Elephas maximus indicus: one gene and its partner. The protein of the gene in region 1 binds, or shares a complex with, the protein of each later gene. Links are inferred from orthologs where the notes say so. Each region holds a gene or a part of one and is shown on either strand. Other genes may lie near its edges.

Region 1 (10,178 bases):
CATCATGCTTTGTAAAGTAGAGGGTCAATGAAAAAGAGGAAGACCCTCAATGAGATGGATTGACACAGTGGCTGCAACAATGGGCTCAAACATAGCAACAATTGTGAGGATGGCAAAGGACTGGGCAATGTTTCCTTCTGTTGTACATAAGGTAGCTATGAGTCAGACCCAACTCAGTTCTGACCTGCAGCTAACAACAACATAACGACCACCTGTTTGCCTTCATCTAGCCTTTTCATCTTTTACTTGGAGAGTAACTTGCACCTGAATGTCATGGCTCTCCCTTGCCAGGTAAGCAAATTCACTGTTGTTTTCGATTACTGTTTGATTCTCTTTATTTTTTTCTAACAAAGGGAATCAATTTCCATAACTACAACTTGCATATAAACTCTTTCCTAACACCGAGAACTTGCACTTGGTCCAGGCATCGTGCTAGCTCTCATTTCCCATTTTTCCTTACAATTACTTTTGTCTCACACCTGGCAAAGGAATGACATGCCTTTTACTCATCCAAATATTATTAAGGAATATTGCTACAGGGTTTAAACCTCCTGAGTGTAATAAAAAATACAAGGGGACAATTCAAAATATTGGCACGAGCAAAGTATTCTTTAGTAAAGGCACCATAAAACAAGGGTGGCATTTCATTTTGGGGTCTCTCTCTGCCTTACATATATTTCTGTTAACAGTGAAGCATGTGTTAGAAAAGGGCTAGAGTGGGTGGCAAGGTGAGGGCAACTTCTATTAAATGACCTCATCTCTCCCATCCTCCAATTATTGTTCAAAGACTGTATCATCCCAGAGGGAGAGGTCCCTTGGACTATGTCAAATAATGGCGTGAAACCATCTTTCTTTTGATTTAATATATTTATAAAACATCCAGACTTCAAAAATAAATCTTAACTGTTATTAGGAAAGTTGAGCATATTAGTATAAATGTACATAAGCTTGTAACGTTTTCACATCTTAAAAAAAGTTGGGTTTGGAAATCCTAACCAAAAGGTCAGCAGTTTGAATCCACCAAGTGCTCCTTGGAAACTCTGTGGGGCAGTTCTACTCTGTCCTATAGGGTCGCTATGAGTCAGAACAGATTCGACAGCAATGGGCACTGGGTTATACAACTAGCATTGCTTATGCAAAAGCTAGTGAATTGTACAGACTGCATTAAAGATTTCAGTTCATAGGACATAGTGATAGTTAAAATGATCTCAGGTATCAAGTCCAAAATTGCAATTAAGTCAATTCCCTATTCAGGTGTACTTTGTAGAATGCATAAAATGACCCAAGACACTGTTCAGGAGATTGTGCCATAAAACTGTGGAAAATAAAAGATATGCTAGTCCACAATTATTTCCAATTATTTCAACATTACAGCTTCATAGAGGAGGCATCTGTGGCTTGGTGCAAAAGTAAGTACGTGCAAAAGTAAGTAGCACACAATGAACAAAATACATATATAAATAGCTTGCATGAAATAAAATATCTGAACTATACACTGATAACCATATTTGGTTTCTGAAAAATATTAAACAAATTTTTAAAAGAAGGCAAAGCATCTTGTATGAAGCTATATTTTTCCAGGTGAAGTTATTAGATTTCTTAAAAATCTAATTTTTTAAACTAATAACATCAATGGTATTTCCTGGAACCTAAAATGGAACTGCCCTTTAAGATTTCTTTTTCATAGACAGGGATTGTAAGATTGATTTACAGGTAAGTATGTAACTACAGAGCAAAAGGCGGGCTACTGGGAGGCTCACGTGCACTGGACTGCGGCAGGCTACTTGTTGACGTCCTGGTCTCCATTTGTGTGATGTCTGTGCCCAGTGCTCATTTCCTCCTTCCTACCTTGTGATCCTTTTCATCTTTCTGTTGAATTTGATACTCTCCTTGTTTCACCATTTCTGCCATTTCTGTTTCCTGAAGACTCTTGTCATACTCCTCTTTCAGCTGGGTCTTCTCTTGCATGCTCTAGGTGATGTGACAGAGCTGAATCAGTTCAGTACCCAGGTGGCAAGTACAAAAGAGCCCGCCCTCCTTGCTGACAGACCTCAGCCCTTCATGCCTGCCCAGCTCGCTCCTATAACTAGCTTTATTCTCCTAGTAGCTCTAAATCCATCAACTCCACAGCATCCTTGGGTTGGATTCTCTCTGCAGCCCCCAGACTATCCACACTTCTGGGCCCAAGCCAAGAAACTCCCCAGGCAAGCTCCAGAATTACTCTAGAGAAAGCTGGAAGCCCCCCAAAGGAGAGCCAGTGCACATACATACCTCTTCTTTTGCCTTTGTGGTTTTCCGATAATGATAAAGCCAGTGAGCCAAGTACTCTATTGGGTCACTGGGCCGAACCTTTGCCACCTCTGCCAGTGCCTGGGCCAGGCAATTTCCAAAGCATCTCTTCAGGTACCCCGTTTCCATTCTGTGGGGCCTGGGAAAAAATCCAAGCAGAGTCCCACTGTTGGTTTAAGAAATGGACACATTCTAACCAACTCATGATTCATTTCAGGATAAATATGAGATGTTTCTGGATTCCACCCTGCCCCAGAAGAGCCAACAAAGGAGACTTGCCAGTAGCTCTTATCTTCAAGTGAGCTTTTTCCTAATGCTCTCCAGCAAACAAAAGGTTCTAGGGGGTCATCAGGCCTCAGAGGAAATACATTGATGGTTAGGGATGGCTACAGGCCTCCACTTACACACTTACACCCTTGGGTTAGGGAGCCGTGGTTTTGTGACACTGGAACCCACAGTCACCTATGACCTAGATCCAAACCCGAACCCACTGCCCTTGAGTCAATTCTGACTCACAGTAACCCTACGGGGCTGAGTAGAACTGCCCCATAGGGTTTCCAAGAGTGTAAATCTTTATGGAAGTAGACTGTCATATCTTTTTCCTGCAGAGAAGCTGGTGGGCTTGAGCCACTGACCTTTAAGTTTGCAGCTGAGTGCTTTAACCACTGCACCACCAGGGCTCCTATGACACAGATAAAACCCACAGATACAAAGGCTTATTTATTTCACAAGAAGCCTAGGGCAGGAGGAGGCAAACTAACAGGCCCTGCAGCTACTGCTGGTCAAGGGCGCTGCCACACCTAATACTATACTCCACTTTCTACTACTTAAGCAGAAAACTACTTTATTTACTTTTGATTTACTTGCCCTTTGATTTACTTTTAATCAGATTTCGAGAGCTGGAGGTAATGTAGCCTGGGTCATACTGGCTTCCAACCAGTTCGTTCAGGCCCCAGGTATACGATTCAGAATCCACATTTTAACAAGATCCCCTGGTGATTCTTATGTATAATAAGCTTTGAGAACCACAGCTCTACTAGTGGCTCTTAGAACTGGCCCCTAACCAGCAGCTTTAGCATCACCTGGGAACTTGTAAAGAATGCAAACTCTCAGCAGGGGTTCCGTCCCAACCAATAGGTTCAAAGACCTGTAACACCATACGTTTACGAGGCAGTATACGGTGGCAGTATGAACGTAGACTGTGGAACCAGACCAAGTTCCAGTCCTGGTTCTCCTGTGATCTTCAGCAAGTCAGTTTATCTGAGCTCCCGCTTCCTCATCTGTAAAAGAGAAATAACAAATGTACCTCAAAAATTGAGAGGATCAAAAGAGATAATACATGGTGACTAGTACATAAAATCAAACCAGTTGCCGTGGAGTTGACTACCTGGAGAAAGCACTTACCCTAAGCAGGCGCCCCTCCCTGCTTCTCCCGGAGCCCACCAACCCTTCCTCTCCCAGAATCCCTCAGCTCACTTCCTCTGCTCCTCCGACGCTCCTCACAGTGTCTATGCCGCATCCCTCCACCCCGCGCGCGCTCGCGTGCGCACCGCCTCCTCTTTATGTCGTGCTCCTCGCCCTTTCGCGCGCTCCTGGGCTCACCCACCCGCGCGCTTCTCCTCTCTGTGGCGCGCTCCCTTTGGCTTCTGGGGTGCGCGAGTTTGCTGCCTAGCGACGGGACGCGGATAGCCGGCAGGAGTTCGGCGCGTGCGTGCGGCGTGCGCATCGAGAACGCAGGCGCAGTGGTCCGAGAAAGGTTCGTCCCACTTTCCTTGGGTCGCAGCGGGCAGAGGCGGTTCTGACAGACGTTGCTAGGAGCCTAGGGCTAAGGGGGCGCCCAAAGGCCATGTGAGGGTTAGCTCCGCACCTGGGGTCCCGTTTGCCAGCTGCTCTTCCTCCTCCTCCTCTTCCTCCCTCGTCCTCGGGGAGCGCGCCTTGTGTAGGGATTTGCCAGATAAAACACCGGACGCCCAATTAAATTTGAACTTCAGATAGACAACGAAAAACATTTCAGTACCCTGGTGGCGCAGTGATTAAGAGCTCGGCTGCTAACCAAAAGGTCGACAGTTGGAATGCACCAGCCACTCTTTGGAAACCCTGTGGGGCAGCTCTACTCTGTGCTATAGGGTAGCTATGAGTCGGAATTCGACTGGACGGAAATGGATATAGTGTAATACAAAATTATTCGCTGTTTAGCTGACATTCAAATTTCACTGGGTGTCCTGTATTTTTATTTGCTTAATCTGGCAGCCCTACCTGGATCTGTCTCCCTGGTTTGGGCGAGGCATCTCAGTCTGTCTCTTGTGGCACCTTCTCCAGATTTGAGGCGGCTGTTTCTGTGGGAAGGGGCTTTCTTCTTTTGATCCAAGATGCTGCCTATTGGTGTATATGAAAAATAGCATTCCTTTCAACAACTCTGTGAAATGGGTACTATCACCATTTCGTGGACAGGGAACAGATGCCAAGTGAGGTGACGAGCCCCGCCCAAGTCCCACTGATGATGGGCTGCAGCACACCGTGGACCCGTTCCTACTCTTAATCTCCCGCATTAGGGACCCTGCCCCCTTCCCGCGTGTTTTATTTTTGAGGAGCAGCGGCAGGAGGCCCTTCCCTCTTTTATGTTACTCCACTTCAAATGAAGTTGAGATATCTTTGTAGTTTCTTCTGTTTTTAGAGAAGTACAGTGAAGATACTGTGTTCCAAAGTCAGCTGTAATCTTTTCCCTGTGTGGTTAGGACACCAGTGCCAACCTGATGGGGAGTTAGGTTCATTTGTACCAGTTTGCTTTTGGTCTGTAGAGTTTTTAATTTTTACACACACGGCATTCCTTTCTCACTGCTGTTGCTAATACAAAGGATGGCATGCTATATATACTTGCTGCACCTTGCTTTGTTAATGTCCTGAATGTCCCTCCCTGTTTTAGAGGTCTTCCTCATTCTTTTACATCTGCATAGTAATTGATGGTGTTGCTGTGTATCATCGATCTCCTGTTGATGAATAATTGAGTAGTTTCCCAGTCTTTGGCTATTCTAAGCAGTGGTGCAAAATAACCTCGTGCATATGTCGTTTCGTATTTTTACAGGTGTATCTTTGAGCTAGGATCTTTGAGCTAGGATCCCAGAGTGAGATTGTGGGGTCGCAGAGAAGACATGTGTAGAGTCTGCCAAATTCCCCCCATACCATTTTGCACTCCCATCAGCATTGCATGAGAGAAGAGCAGTATTGGGGGTCTATGCATAGATCTCAGGATGTCAGTGTTTCTGAGATCTTAATATAAAATGTCAGGTGCATTGGACTAGGAGCAGGATGTGGACAGCCTGGCACTCTGTCCCCATGCCTGTACACTAACTCCTATACCACGCCTTTTCTCTTACCTGGAAGGCTCTGCCTTCTCTTTGCTGTGTTGACCGCATGCTCACTCCTATACCAGCGCCTTTTCCCATACCTGGAAGGCTGTTGCTTCTCCTTGCTGGGATGACTTTTACTGTTCCTTCAAATCTTAGTTTGAACATCACCCCTCAGGAAAGCTCTCCTTGACTTTTCCAACTGGGTCAAATCCTCCTGTTATCTGGTTTGCATAGTACTCATGACAATTTCAATTTTACATTCATTTATTGATGTTAATATTTGATTAATGTTTGTCTTCCCTACTCACCTGTAAGCTCCATGAGGGCAGAGACTGTGTTTTGTATTCCCAGCATCTGTCAAGGTGCCTCAGTTTGTATTTGTTGAATACAAACACACACAAAAAAGCCATTGCTGTCAAGTTGATTCTGACCCATGATAACCCTATGTGGTGCAGAGTAGAATTGCTCCATAGGGTTTTCTTGGCTGTAGTGTTTATGGAAGCAGATCACCAGGCCTTTCTTCTGTGGTGCCACTGGGTGGGTTTGAACTGCCAACCTTTTGATTAGTAGCTGAGTGCAAACCATTTGTGCCACCCAGGGACCATATTGTTGATAGGCATTCAGTATATATTTGTTGAATAATGAACACATTTCATCAGCTTTTTCGAGGAGTCTAAATTCCATAAAAGGGCATGACCAGCAGAGATGCAGGGTGTTCAGGACATGTCGGGGCAGCAGAGAGATCTGGAGGCGCCTGAAAGGAGAATTGGGGCCAGATGGTCAGGAGTCTATTAAGCTGTTATTTGAGGACTGGCCATGGAGAGTCATGGAATTTTTTTTTTAAGAGGTGGAATATTGTGATGTTTTATAAAAATGGCTCTCATGGCTTGGAATCAGCATCTTAGTTCAGTCAGAGTGAGGGCTCTGGAATCAAGAGTTGCGTACTGCAGTAAGCAAGGGTCAAAGTGAGCAAATTCCACCTTCTCTGCTAACTGCATGGTAAGGATCAGCATGAATCCAACCCCCAAATTGTGGAAATGGATCTAGTCCTCACCTTCCCACTTCCCCATCCTCATTGCATGCCAGCCACCCAAGTGGCACACGCTCTCTTCAACCCTACCCACCCAGGGGTAGGTCAGAGCTCAAGTCAAATGGACACCGTCCTTCAGACCAGCAGCCTTCTCATATACCTATCCACCCAAAGCTAGATTAGACCCCACAATTTAGACACTGTCCTTCATATAGGCGGATGCCAGCCCCTGCTGGTTCTCACTGCCCCTGTGGATTTGTTAATTTGCTGGAATGACTCAAAGAATCTTATGGTGAGTGTACCATACTTAAAACTACAGATTTACTACAACCAAAAAGGATACAAATGAAGAGACGCATAAGGTGAGGTCTGGTGGAGGTGGAGTGTCACAAAGTGAAGATTCCATGTCCCAAAGAGGAAGCGTTACCCTCTCTCATGCATGGTCACCAACCAGGAAGCTCATCTGAGCCTTTCAGTTCAGGACACTTATCAGCCTCCACTAGTGGCCATGATAGATTGTTTCATCCCTCCTGAGGCTTAGTCAACATCAGACCCCCAGATGGCCCCTCTTGGTCTGCTCAGACCCCACTCATTAGCCTCAGGTGTGGTCCAGCTCTCAAGAACCCAGAACAAAAGCCAAATTGCAAGGTGGTTCTACATCTTGCAGGTACAAATCTCACCTCCACTATGTGCCAGCTCTTCGATCCCGAACTGTTGAATTAAGCTCTTTGTGCCTGGGTTTCCTCATCTGCACAATGGGGATAATGAGACCCACTTTTCAGATAAGTTGTAGGGATTAAGTGAGACAGTGCGTTGCTTGGTATACAGTCTTCTTGCAATAAATAATAATTGCAATAGTAATAATCAGTATCCCTTTTCTCTCTCTGGGGCTTGAGGGCTCATCAGGATTTTGAAAATATTTTAGTTGTAGTGACTTCTGTAGAAGCTTTTTGGAAACTCTTAGAAGTTTCCTGGGGCCAGCATGCTTGTAACATCTCTGATGGTAGGCATCAATGACTGGTGATAGGGTATAATACATTGTTGGCCTGCTGGACTTTACTATTGTTGTTAGGTGCCGTCTCAAGTCAGTTCCGACTCATAGGGACCCTAGGTACAATAGAACAAAACACTGCCTGGTTCTGCACCATTCTCACAATTGTTATGCTTGAATTCATTGTTGCACCCACTGTGTCAGTCAATCTCATTGAAGGTCTTCCTCTTTTTCTCTGATCCTCTGCTTTACCAAGCGTGATGTCCTTCTCCAGGGATTGATTTTTGCTGATAACATGTCCAAAATATGTAAGACGTAGTCTCACCATCCTTGCTTCTAAGGAGCATTCTGGTTGTACTTCTTTCAAGACAGATTTGTTTGTTCTTTTGACAGTCCATGGTATTTCAATATTCTTTGCCAAGATTTCTTTGGCCAATTCTTCTTTGGCCTTCCTTATTTATCATCCAGATTTTGCATCCATATAAGGCGATTGAAAATGCCATGGCTTGGGTCAGGTGCACCTTAGTGTTCAAGGTGACATTTTTGGTTTTCAACATTTTAAAGAGGTCTTTTTTAATAGATTTGCCCAATGCAGTGTGTCTTTTGATTTCTTGACTGCTGCTTCCATGGGCTTGATTGTCTTACTGTGCCTTAATTGGAGCCCTGGTGGCGCAGTGGTTAAAGCAATTGACTGCTAACTAAAAGGTCGGAGGTTTGAAACCACCAGCAACTCCGAGGGAGAAATATGTGGCAATCCTCTTCCATAGCGATTTACAGTCTTGGGAACACTGTGGGGTTACTGTAAGTCAGAATCGGCTTGACCAGGTGGTTTTTTTTTTTTTTTTTTTGGTTTGGTGCCTTAATCGGAAATTTCCTGCACTGATTCAAAACATTTATTTTTTTAGGCATTTATATTTAGGAGTTAGAAATGGAGTCACTCTATCTTCAGAAACACCTTGGGACATGTCTAACTCAGGGTCTTGCAGAAGTGGCAAGAATTCGCCCAGTGGATCCAATAGAGTATTTGGCATTGTGGATTTACAAGTATAAGGAAAATGTGACCATGGAACAAATGGTAAGTATTGCTTTCCTTTTAGAAAATTAGAAGAGTAAAATAATTGGTCCAATTTGTCTGCTTTTTTTAAAGTTCAGTATTTTTTCTTCTTTCCATTATAAAAATAATATATTCATTATACAAAAACTTAGACAACATGAAAAACAAAAACAATACCCAAAGAAGACCTCTATTTATATTTTTATGTATTTTCATTTATTCTTTTTTCCACACATTTGTCTGTAGATTTTTTTACATACTTGTGATCATACTCAATGTATAATTTTAATTTTATGCTTCGCTCAAATAAAATAACATCTTCCCAAGTAATTATAGATTTTCCAGATTAATAGACTATAATTTGCTTAACTCTTTCCCTATTGTTGGTAACTTAAATGATTTCAAAAATGTTTTTACAAACTGTTTTTTCTCTTATTAATCATATGATATTGCTTTTAAACAATGCTAGAAAGAAAAGGAAATGGCCGAGTTGGAGCGTGAAAGAGAGTTAGCTCTTTTGGAACAGGAGATGATGGAGAGGCTCAAAGCAGAGGAGCTCATGTTTCAGCAGGTGAGACAAGTAAGATGAGTTCACAGGTGTCTGTGGAATTAGGGCTTTCAGCCTTGTGTGATACACTGAAACTTTGAAAGACTACCTGTCCCTGGTTACTTGCTTAGCTGTGGCTCTCTAATGCCTTTACCTTTATGTACATGTGTGCTTTCTTTGCTGGAGAAAAAGCAGCAGTGGGGTAGGAGGAAAACCCAAGAGTGCTGTTGCAGATGCCTGGGGAGAGAGTGTGCCAGTGAGACATGAGTGGTCAGCATGTCTGCTGATGGTTGATTAAGAACAGGACTGGCCAATGCTCACTCAGGGCCACTGGTGGCGTTGGCGGAGGGCGGGGGGGTGGCAAACAGGGGAGATGGTGGGTGTAGGTAGTACTTTTAATAAGGTTTTCTGGGAAGTAGGATTTTTTTTTTAATTTTTTTCTAAAGGAACACAGTAGAGGCAGGTGGTTGACATTAGAGAAGATGATTTATGGAGTCAGATTTCCACGGAGACAAGAGGAAATGGGGTCTGGAACATAGGTGAGGCAGGTAGAAGGGCACTTCTTTGATTATAACAGGAAGAAAGAGAAGAGGACGGTGTAGGTGTATGGAGGCATGCAGGTTTGATGGCATGAAGTTGGGTGCAGTTTCTGTGTGATGGTTTCTGTCTTCCTTATGAAGTAGGGACCATGATCATCTGTCAAGAATGAGGCAGTAAGGTAGGAGGTGCGGGCAGAGTGGTGAAGGTTTGAAATGAGAATGGAAGAGAGAGTTGATCAGGGAAGCTCAGCTTTCCTTGGCAGCATTGAGAGCCCTGGTCTTGTTGGAGACCAAGCATTCATAGTGGTCCATTTGGTTTGCTCATGTGATTGTGTGGTTTTCTCCACCTAGACTTAGATACTTCACTGAAGATGTGGAAGA
Region 2 (10,111 bases), on another chromosome or scaffold:
AGCTCTAGGGGAAGGCTTTCTCTCTGTGTCAGCTTTGGAGGAAGGAGCTCTCTTTGAGCTCCTGCTCCTGGACAGCCTTCATGAGGCTTAGCATCTCTCTTCCTCCATCTCTGCTAGCTTGCTAGTTTAATATCTTTTATATCTCAAAAGAGATTGATTCAAGATATACCCTACACTAATCCTGCCTCATTAACATAACAAATGGGATTATAACCACAGGCATAAAGGCTAGGATTTATAACATATTTTGGGGGGGACACAATTCAGTCCAAAACAGATAATGAGATGTGAATTGTACTGCTCAAGTAGACACACACGGTATGGTATATAAAGCAAAATGAGAGTATGCAACCTTAGATGTGAAGAGAGCCTGTTTAGAGGGAAAATGCACTACATAAGGTGGGATTTGTAATTTAATGTTTAAGCAGAAAACTTGGAAATCTAGGAAAATTATGAATGAAATAAAACAGTGTACAAGTTGTACTTCCAAAGAAAATATAAGTAAATTAAACAATTTAGTCCAAGGAAGGAATGGCCGTGAGGAGAAATGAATATTGTATTTTAAGGATTACTTCTGTATAGAGAAGAGCAAAAAGGAAAAGATGTTTAAATTGTGTAGCATTAGGGTAAAACATAAGTGAATTCCTTAGAATGTGAAACCAGTATTTCCTTCTCTGGAAATATGGGAAAGATACTTGCCAATGTGGCATATTCCTGCATAAAAACAAGACCAGATTCATTCATCAAATACATATTAAGCATCTAATATGTGCCAGGCACTTACTGTTACAGGTACTTGGGAAGCATCAGTGGACAAAGACTACCTTCATGCACCGGGTCAGTCACAGGTGCTGAAGAGCAAATCAACAAGAGTTGAAAAGACACAGACAATTGTAGTATTGTAGTTTACATTATAAGAAAGTAACCATTTCACTGAATAACAGTAATAGGTAAGAGAATATTTATTGAGCTTGGGATCCCTTTTAGAAGTATTAAACATATTTTTGTTCCTATGGTGTTCTATTTTTTCAGGATATTTTTTCCTACTATGGCTTGAGAAAACCTCACACCTGGGGGAGGTAGAATACCATTTATGAAGTTACTATCTCTTTTCTGTCATGTTTTGTCCCATAGGTCTGACCTAGGCCAGAATGATCCTGTTCAGGATCATTTACTATTTAAGAAGACTCTCCTGCCAGTCTGGAAGATGATTGCCAGTCACAGGTAGGTATCCAGAGCGGTGATGGGATTATGTTCAGAGCTGAATCGGTGACACAGATTTGGGATTAAGCATAAAAGAAGATGTGTTCATCCCATCATATGATCCATATGATAGGCTTAGATAGAGGCAAATCCTATATCTAAGCCTGTTTTATCCATAAGTCCTCACAGCTGCTTTCACAGGTCTGTATAAGATATAGTTGCTGTGTCATTTGAGTTGCCTATAGAAATTGGTTCCTATTACATGATAAAATTAGTATTTAAAATATATGCTTCCTTCCAATATGGTGGCGCCTCCTTTTCCACAGACATAGGGCCTCAGGGCCTTCAACAAATTTCTGAGCGTTTAATCAGTATATTAGAATTGTAGTTAAATATTTTATACTTTTTTTTTTTTAAATTCTTTTTCTGTTCAGCAAGAATAAACTAATAGTCTTCCATAATGGCACTCAGTCTGCATTTCCCTAAGGAAAGTCTTATAAGAAGTGATCCACACTCTGTAGGTTAAATATTGTCTTCTAGTTCATAGCTGCTCTTCTTATTCAGAATAACTTGCCAGAGTTTCTTCATCCTCTCTGGATTTGTCTCTTACCAGGTTCAGCAGTCCATTTCTGAAGCCTGTGTCAGATAGGCAGGCCCCAGGATACAAAGATGTGGTGAAAAGGTCAGTGGAAAAGGGGTCAAGAAAGGTTGGTTGCTTTTATATCTGTCTTTTAATTCCTTTTTTTTTTTTAAGTTATTTTGTTGTCACTGCTGTTGAGAATATACACAGCAAAAACATACACCAGTTCAAGTTTCTGCATGTATAATTCAGTGACAGTGATTATAGTCTTCAAGCTGTGCAATCATTCTCACTCTCCTTTTCTGAGTTGTTCCTCCCCCAGTAACATAAACGCACTGCCGTCTAAGGTTCCTATCTGATCTTTCAAGTTGCTGTTATCAGTTTGAACCCATATAGATAGATCTCAAAAGAGCATAAGGTTCAAGGCAGACATTCTTTACTAGTTAAGCTAAACTATCATTTGGTTTTAAGAAGACTTCAGGGGATATTTTTGGTTTAAGGTTTAACTATTATCTCCGGGCGATAGTTTCAGGAGTTCATCTAGCCTCAATGGCTCCAGAAAGTATGGATTCCATGAGAATTTGAAATTCTGTTCTGCATTTTGATCAGGATTCTTCTATAGGATATTAGATCAAAACGTTCAGTAATGGTAGCCAGGCACCATCCAGTTCTTCTGGTCTCATGGCAAAGGAGGCAGTTGTGCATGGAGGCAGTTAGCTGCACATTCCGTTTCTTCCTCCTACTCCTGACTTTCCTTCTTTCTGTGTTTTTCCAGGTGAATAGAGACCAATTGTTGTGCCTTGGATAGTGTCTTTTCATTCTTCATTTCTCATCTATTAGATAATTTCTTTACTTCAGCTAAAAACGTAAAGTTATGGTTAGCTTGGTCTTTTCATTTGAGAAGGAATGAAGGGAACAAAAGGATACTCTAATTTTTGTTTTTTGGAGTTTTTTTTCCCCCATATTTTTAAGTAATATGATCCATTTATTATAATCTCACCATTAGCCTTTGGTAGATTTTGATAGTGTTCTTTTGGAGCAGAACTTGAAAAGGAAAGCTGTATGACCAGGCAGTTATATAAGTATTCTAAGGCAGATACGGTAATCCAAAGGGATGTTACTAACACTGGTTGTTTGCAGTATTTTGAATTTTGATAGCATAGTATATTTAAAGCACTGTTGTAAACCAGTGTGTTTATTAATAGAGTATAGAAGATCAGAAAGGGACCTTTGGAAAAAAACACTTCATATTAAATGTAAGGAAACTAAGGCTTAGAGGTGGTCCTGACTTATAGTTAATAGCAGAGCTAGAACTAAACCCCAAATTCTTACCTCCCAGTTTAGTCCTCTTTCTACACTGTTGTGCCTTCTCTTACATACCCACTATCTCTGCCTCATTGAATAATAATTTATCTTATTTACCTGATTCTCATTCTTTTTACTCCCATGAAAGGAGAAAAAAAAATTAGCTTTGATTTATACAATAATAAAAGTAGATTAATTACCTAGTATAAGATTGTACATTGTAAACAGTCAGTCAGTAACTAGTATGTGACAAACTGACCATCGGATTCTTTACAGCTTTGGTACCTAGGGCTAGCTTTCCTGCTGTGATGCTGTTGTTGTTGTGTGCCATTGATTCTGACTCACAGCGACCATACATAACAGAGAAGAACTGCCTCATAGGGTTTCCTTGGCTATAATCTTTATGGCAGCAGATTGCCAGGGCTTCTCTTCTGCAGAGCCACGAGATGGGTTTGAACCACCAAGCTTCTGGTTAGCAGCCACGTGCACCGCCAGGGCTCCATTCTGCTATGATAGTTGAGTGAAACGCCTGGGCTTGTGGGTTCTGGAGTCAGGCTGCCTTTGAACTGGAATCCAGGCTATGTGACTTTGGACAAGTACTTAACCTCTTTAGATCTCAGTTTCATCTGTCAAGTGGGGATAATACTTACCTTATAAGTTTATTGAGAAGATTGAGTTAATATATAAAGCGCCTAGCATAATGCTTGGTCTCTTGAAAGCAGTCAAATATTAGCTGCTGTTGTTATTTTATTATCTGGTGGGTTTGTTATTTTTACTATTATTCATTAAGAGCTGGTTAGTTCTCCAAGAGAACATGTTAGGTTCCACATATTCCACATGAATGTTTGATTTCCCCTGGTTTCTCTTGGCCACCTGCAGACCCATGGACTTAACTAGCTTGAAGAGAAATCTGTCTAAGGGACAGATTCGCACCATGGCCCAGTTTCAGCGGGATCTGATGCTGATGTTCCAAAATGCTGTGATGTACAATGACTCTGACCATCATGTGTACCACATGGCTGTGGAGATGCAGCGAGAAGTCTTGGAACAGATTCAGGTACTATATTTAGAGAACTGCAGGAAAAAGGAATATAGCCTCTGGAATCTAATTTCAGAAAGTCTTTGAGAATAAGGTTGATACTGAGATGACCTGGTGTTCCCAGAGTTTATTTATCTTTAGGGATAAATCAGGGCCCTGAAGGAAGGATTGACATTGTGCATACTGACTTGGAACACCCCGAGCTCTAATAAATTAGCAAGTGAAGTAGTCCAGAAAGGCAGGCAGCAGCGAAGAGCTCTCAGGAGAGCTGGGGATAGATAAGTAATGGGAGATCCTGCATCTAGAGCCTCAAGTCAGAGGCGTAGATGTGTAAACCAGCGGCTAGAGTCACTGGCCATTTTTGGATTACTACATCTGTTGATATTAATGTACTTTCACACTGTCCCATCTTTAGCAGATAAGACATAGTAGCCAGATGAGGACATTTGAGAATTTCTTTCTGGGCAGCATCATACTTTAAAGAAAGAAGTACAGTCAAATTTATATGCAGAAGAAGAAATAAATTGCATTTAAATCTCTGTAGCTTTTAAGATTCATAGCTTGCTCTCTGTGCCTTGACCCTGTAGGTGCTGAGTATTTGGTTAGATAAAAGAAGAGATCTAAGTAGTCTGGAATGACAACCAACCAACCTGGTGGATGATGGGAAACCTATTTTGTTAACCTGGAGCTGCTACCCTGATCTCTTCTGGAGTTTGGACCTCTTCTTAAGACTCTGATCCAGAGAAGATTTCAGTAGTTGTTTACCACTTCTCCATTTTCTTTTCTAATAAAATTAAGACCTTTAACTCATTACCAAGGAGTCAAAGATGCCTGTGAACATACTATAAAGAAAAGAGGAAAGCTGAAATTTGGGTTTATGCCACAATTGTTGCCTACAACTTTGTTCTACAAGCTTAATTTAGAGGTAACTAGATTAAGCCTGTTATTGCTGATCTATAAATAAATGTTATTTCACAAACCTCAGACTATTTTAATGATTAAAGAAACCAGGATAAAGAGGATAGCACAGTCTGTGAAATGAAGAAGATACTTGATAGGGGTTTTCTTACATATACTGTCTGGAACGGGGTGGGGTGGGGTTGGGGGAGATCTTTGATTTGTCTTCTCATTTGTAAAACCAAAAAACAAACAAACCAACCTGTTGAGTTGATTCCGACTCATAGTGACTCTGTAGGACAGAGTAGAACTATCCCATGGGGTTTCCAAGGCTATAATCTTTACGGGAGCAGACTGCCACATCTTTCTCTTGTGGCAGTTAACTGCCGAGCTCATAACCACTGCACCACCAGCGCTCTTCCTCATTTGTAAAGTTAGAATAATTGAAGCATCCCTCAAATAAGTAGGAAGAAGAAATAAGATAATTATGAAGAAAATGTAAAAACAACAGCAAAAAAAAAAAAAAAAAACCCAAAAAGTGTAGTGCTCTTGGAACAGATTCAAGTACTGTATGTGGAGAACTGCAGGAAAAAAGGAGTATAGCCTCTGGAATCTGATTTCTGAGTCTTTGAAAATAAGGATGATACTGAGATGACCTTGTGTTCCCAGAGTTTGTGTTTAGGGGTGATTCAAGGCCCTGAAGGACTGACATTGTGCCTACTGGTTTGGAAAGCCCTGAGCCTCAGTAGGTCCAGCACTAATAAGTTGTGAAGTGAAGTAGTACAGGAAGGCAGGCAGCAGTGGAAAGCCTTCAGGAACGGGAGGTCCTTCTTCTACAGCCTCAAGTCAGAGGGCTAGACCTACAAAAACGTCTGGGGCTAGTTCCCTTTCTTGGTTAAAAGAAACCAGGCAAGCGTGGAAGAACTGCTAGAATTGGCCCTCTGCAGCCACCATCCGGGAGCTGGGGCTTCTGGTCTCCTAGCAACAACTTGTGGTCACTGAGTTGGGTGCGGTGCTGTGGTGAGTGCCTCCGGTGGGTGCAGCCCAGAGGGGTCCTGAGGACCCTGCTTTTCAGTCAGTCCTGGCTCTAAATAAGCAGTCCTCCCTGTGGGGAGGAATTGCTTCTTTCAGGCAGCCAGCCAGTAGAGGCTGCCCACCCTTCCATGCCCCTGCTCCCGCTCCCGCCCCTGGCCTCCGCCCCGCGCGTCTGCCACAGTCCCAGGCCTTCGGGCAGCCCCTCGGTCCTTCTCTCGGTGAATGCCTTACAAAAACCCAAGGCATGACCTGGACGCAGAATAGAAATATCACTGGAACAATGCTTATAGAAAAATATATGGCCATTTCGGACTTTATAAACGAAAATCAAGCACCTGATATTGCTATTCTTAATCACAATTACATTAATTTTGGGGTGGGTGGGGTACTGTCATTGCAGTTGATACCTGTCAAGAAACTATTAAATTACTCTGAAAAGCCAAGATGGAGATATCAATGCCCCCACCTCAGATATATGTAGAAAAAACTCTGGCCATTATCAAACCAGATATTGTTGACAAAGAGGAGGAGATACAAGACATTATTCTTAGATCTGGATTCACCATTGTTCAGGTAACTTCTGGGCAGGGTGATCGTGCTTTTGGCTCTTTTTTATCCTTTTTTTTATGTAAATAACACTAATCCATTTAGATCCTTAGTGCTTAGCATTAATTTTTGTAGTTATAAAAGTAGCACGTGATAGTTGTAAAAAGCTTTTTTTTCATGGTTCAGAAGGATATAAAATGAGAAATAAAAGTCGGTTTTCTTTCCCTCCAACCCCAAGTCCCAGTCTCCAGAGGCAACCACTGTTAACACTTTCTGTTCTTCCAGGGATTATCTATGCATTTACAAATATTTTTCCCTCTTAAAAGGGAATAGTTTCTTTCCCTTGACCCCCTTAACAAAGTCCCTTAGCACTCCGGATATATATCTGAATCTATCTCATTCGTCCTATTTACAACTTCTGTGTAATATTCCTCTGTATGGATGAACCGTAATTTATTTACTTTTAAAAGTTCTCTGTTGATGGTCTCTTAGGTTGTTGGTATTTCTTCAGTTAGTATTTTTCATTACAAACATTTAAGGTTTTAAAGCCTTGTATTTGTTCTGCAGTTGGTAAACACTGTCATTTTAGAGACTTGGAAATGAATATAAAAAGAGTATTGCTGAAGATTATCAAATAGAATTGAATATTTTTAATCTTCCTTTTTGTTCCATCCTTTCTTGAATTTCCAGTTTTTTATTCTCTTACATTTATACAGTGTTATGTTCCCTGTTTAGTCAGTGTTTTAAAAAAGAGAAAACTTCAGTTTTCAGGAAATATATAGGATTTCAGTTGAGCTTCAAAGAATAGGTATAGAGGCCAAAAGTAGGGGTGGTGTAAGAAAAAAGTAAGGAAACAGTACAGGAAACAGTAAGGAAATATGTAATATAATTAATAGAACTTTTTAATAAACAGTGTTAGGAAAACTGGGTAGCCATTTTTTTAAAAGTAGAATTCAAATATTATATACTTGGATAGACTCCAAATGGATCTGAGATTTAAATATTTAAAACTTAAACCGTATAAGGTTTAGAAGAAAAGAGGGATGAATTTCTTCTTATCTTTGCAGTGGGATAGCCTTTTTTCCTATGACTTAAAGTTTAGGAGCCATAAGAGAAAAGCTTGGTAAGACTACATAAAATTTGAAAACTTCTGCATGGCCAAATAAACCCCATACGCAAGGTCAAAACACAAAATGACAAACTTGGAAAAAAGATTTGCAACTCGTATCATGAAGTACCGATCTCCATAATGTATAATGTGTTCCTAGAAAAGATTAACAGTAGAAAGATGCATAGAGCACATGGATGGTCACAGAAAAAAGAAAAACAAATGGTTTTTGTTGTAGGTGCCGCCGAGTTGATAATCGACTCATAGCGACCCCATGTGACAACGTAGAGCTGCCCCATAGGGTTTTCTAAGCTCTGATCTTTATGGGAGCAGATTGCCAGGTCTTTTCATCAGAGCTGCTGGGTGGGTTTGAACCACCAACCTTTTGGTCAGTAGCCGAGTGCTTAACCATTGTGCCACCAGGGTTTCTTAAATGTGTAAAAAGATGCCCAACCTCTTAGTAGGAAAAAGTGAATTAAAACTATACTGAGATACCATTTGGCTAAACTCTAAATGGCACAACCCCTCTTGAAGGGAATTTGGCAATTATCTACCAAGATTACAGATGCATTTACTCTTTGACTCAGTAGTCCTACTCTTGGGAATCCCTCCTATAGAAACTCTTGTGTTAACATGAAATGGCATGCATACAGGTTATTTTTTGCAGTGTTATTTATTTAGTATAGTCCTACTCTGACACGCATGGGGTTGCCATGAATTGAAATTGATTCAACAGCAGCTGGTTCAATTTTTTTGTTTTATTTACTAGTGAAAGATTGAACACAATCCAGCAGTAGGAGATTGGTTAAACAAACCCTGGTGAATCCACCAAATTGAGTACTGTGCAACTCAGTGTAAAAAGAATAAAGAACCTGTGTGTGTGCTGTTATGGAAAAAAGCAAGGTGCAGAACTGTGTGTGGCAACCTTTTGTGAAAGAGGAAGTGTAACATTCTTGTTTGCCAGTATTTGCAAAATGAAGTACTGAGAAATAAATTTAAAAAAAGGTTGCCTATTGAGGTGAGAGAGAAACAGGGTGGATTAGAATGAGATTTTTCAGTACATATCTTTTTATACTGTTTTGGTTTTTTGAACCTTGTTATTGGTGGTTCAGTAGTAAAATTCTCCCCTTCCGTGCAGGAGACCCAGGTTCAATTTCTTGTCAGTGTACCTCATGTGCACTGGGAGCCTACGCATTGCTATGATACTGAATAGATTTCAGTGGAGCTTCCAGACTAAAACAGACTAGTAAGAAAGACCTGGCAATCTACTCCTGAAAATCAGCCAATGAAAACCCTATAGATCATGTCAGGGATTGAATTGTGCACCCCCCCTCAAATGTGTGTCAGTTTGGTTAGGCCATGATTCCCAGTATTGTGTGGTTGCATTCCATTTTGTGACTGGTTTGATTTTCCTATGTGTTGTAAATCCTAATCCCTGCCTGTGGTTAATGAGGCAAGATTAGATTATGTTAAAGAGGATTAGGGTGGCATGTAACACTCTTCCTCAGGTGACATCCCTGATCCAATGTAAAGGAGTTTCCTTGGGGTGTGGGCTGCATCACCTTTTATCCTACAAGAGATAAAAAGGAAGTGAGCAGAGAGTTGGGGACCTCATACCACCAAGAAAGCAGCACTGGGAACAGAGCGAGTCCTTTGGACCTGGGGTTCCTGCATGGAAAAGCCCCTAGACCAGGGGAAGATTGATGACAAAGACCTTCCCCCAGAGCTGACAGTGAGAGAAAGCCTTGCCCTGGAGCTGGCACCCTGAATTTGGACTTCTAGCACCCTAGACTGTGAGAGAATAAATTTCTCTTTGTTAAAGCCATCCGCTTGTGGTATTTCTGTATTAGCAGCACTAGATAACTAAGACAGATCACAACGACCAGATCTACAACTGATCATGGGAATGGCTTAGGACCAGGTAGTGTTTTAAGCTGTTGTGCGTGAGGTGGCCACGAGTCAGGGTCTGACTCAATGGCAGCTACCAAGTATCAAAAAAACCACTGCCATGGAGTCTCTTCTGACTCAGTGACCCTGTAGGACAGAGTAGAACTGCCCTCTAGGGTTTCTAAGGTTGTAATCTTCACGGAAGCAGACTGCAACATCTTTCTCCCAAGGAGTGGCTGGTGGGTTCAAACTGCTGACCTTTCGGTTAGCAGTGTAACACTTAACCACTGGGCCACCAGGGCAACAAATAAGTATATTACCCATTTATTTTTTGAATCATAGAAAAAAACGAAGTATACAAATAAGATAAATGTGACCCTTTAAGTTTTTTTTAAAAAAGATAAGTCTACATTTTAAGAGTGGTGGCAAACTTGTTAAATGATTAATGTTAATTAGTTATAAATTAGTATAAATACCAATATTTAACACTTTCCCTAGTCAGCAATAAATT

The links. The genes of interacting proteins can lie anywhere in the genome.
Region 2: the proteins of DYDC2 (region 1) and NME5 are in contact, whole or in part, in a cryo-EM structure (PDB 8X2U), measured with the Mus musculus proteins. The link is inferred for Elephas maximus indicus from reciprocal best matches to the Homo sapiens genes DYDC2 and NME5. Residues at the interface, in NP_001347537.1 of Mus musculus: Asp2, Tyr5, Leu6, Cys9, Phe10, Gly13, Leu14, Leu18, Val21, Ala22, Arg23, Val24, Arg25, Pro26, Asp28, Pro29, Ile30, Glu31, Leu33, Ala34, His35, Leu37, Tyr38, Tyr40, Arg41; in NP_542368.2 of Mus musculus: Arg140, Ala145, Val146, Ile147, Ile151, Pro152, Ala156, Ala157, Tyr160, Ile161, Tyr164, Val165, Thr168, Leu169, Leu173, Leu176, Cys177, Lys180, Pro181, Asp183, Pro184, Tyr185, Leu186, Leu188, Ala189, Asp190, Leu192, Met193, Asn196, Pro197.

The regions. Positions count from the first base shown.
Region 1 is NC_064826.1:131,930,770-131,940,947, forward strand, and holds the start of DYDC2 (DPY30 domain-containing protein 2), read right to left. Parts: upstream 3,945-10,178; 5' UTR 3,766-3,944; intron 3,570-3,765; 5' UTR 3,449-3,569; coding exon 3,372-3,448; intron 2,429-3,371; coding exon 2,272-2,428; intron 1,972-2,271; coding exon 1,849-1,971; intron 1-1,848. Other genes in the region: DYDC1 (DPY30 domain-containing protein 1), read left to right, coding at 8,586-8,732, 9,181-9,282.
Region 2 is NC_064820.1:151,199,685-151,209,795, reverse strand, and holds the start of NME5 (nucleoside diphosphate kinase homolog 5), read left to right. Parts: upstream 1-6,020; 5' UTR 6,021-6,044; intron 6,045-6,089; exon of another isoform or gene 6,090-6,459; 5' UTR 6,460-6,503; coding exon 6,504-6,632; intron 6,633-10,111. Other genes in the region: bromodomain-containing protein 8-like, read left to right, coding at 1,135-1,224, 1,817-1,885, 3,968-4,145, 4,715-4,765. UniProt on the Homo sapiens protein: Functions as part of axonemal radial spoke complexes that play an important part in the motility of sperm and cilia. Does not seem to have nucleoside diphosphate kinase (NDPK) activity.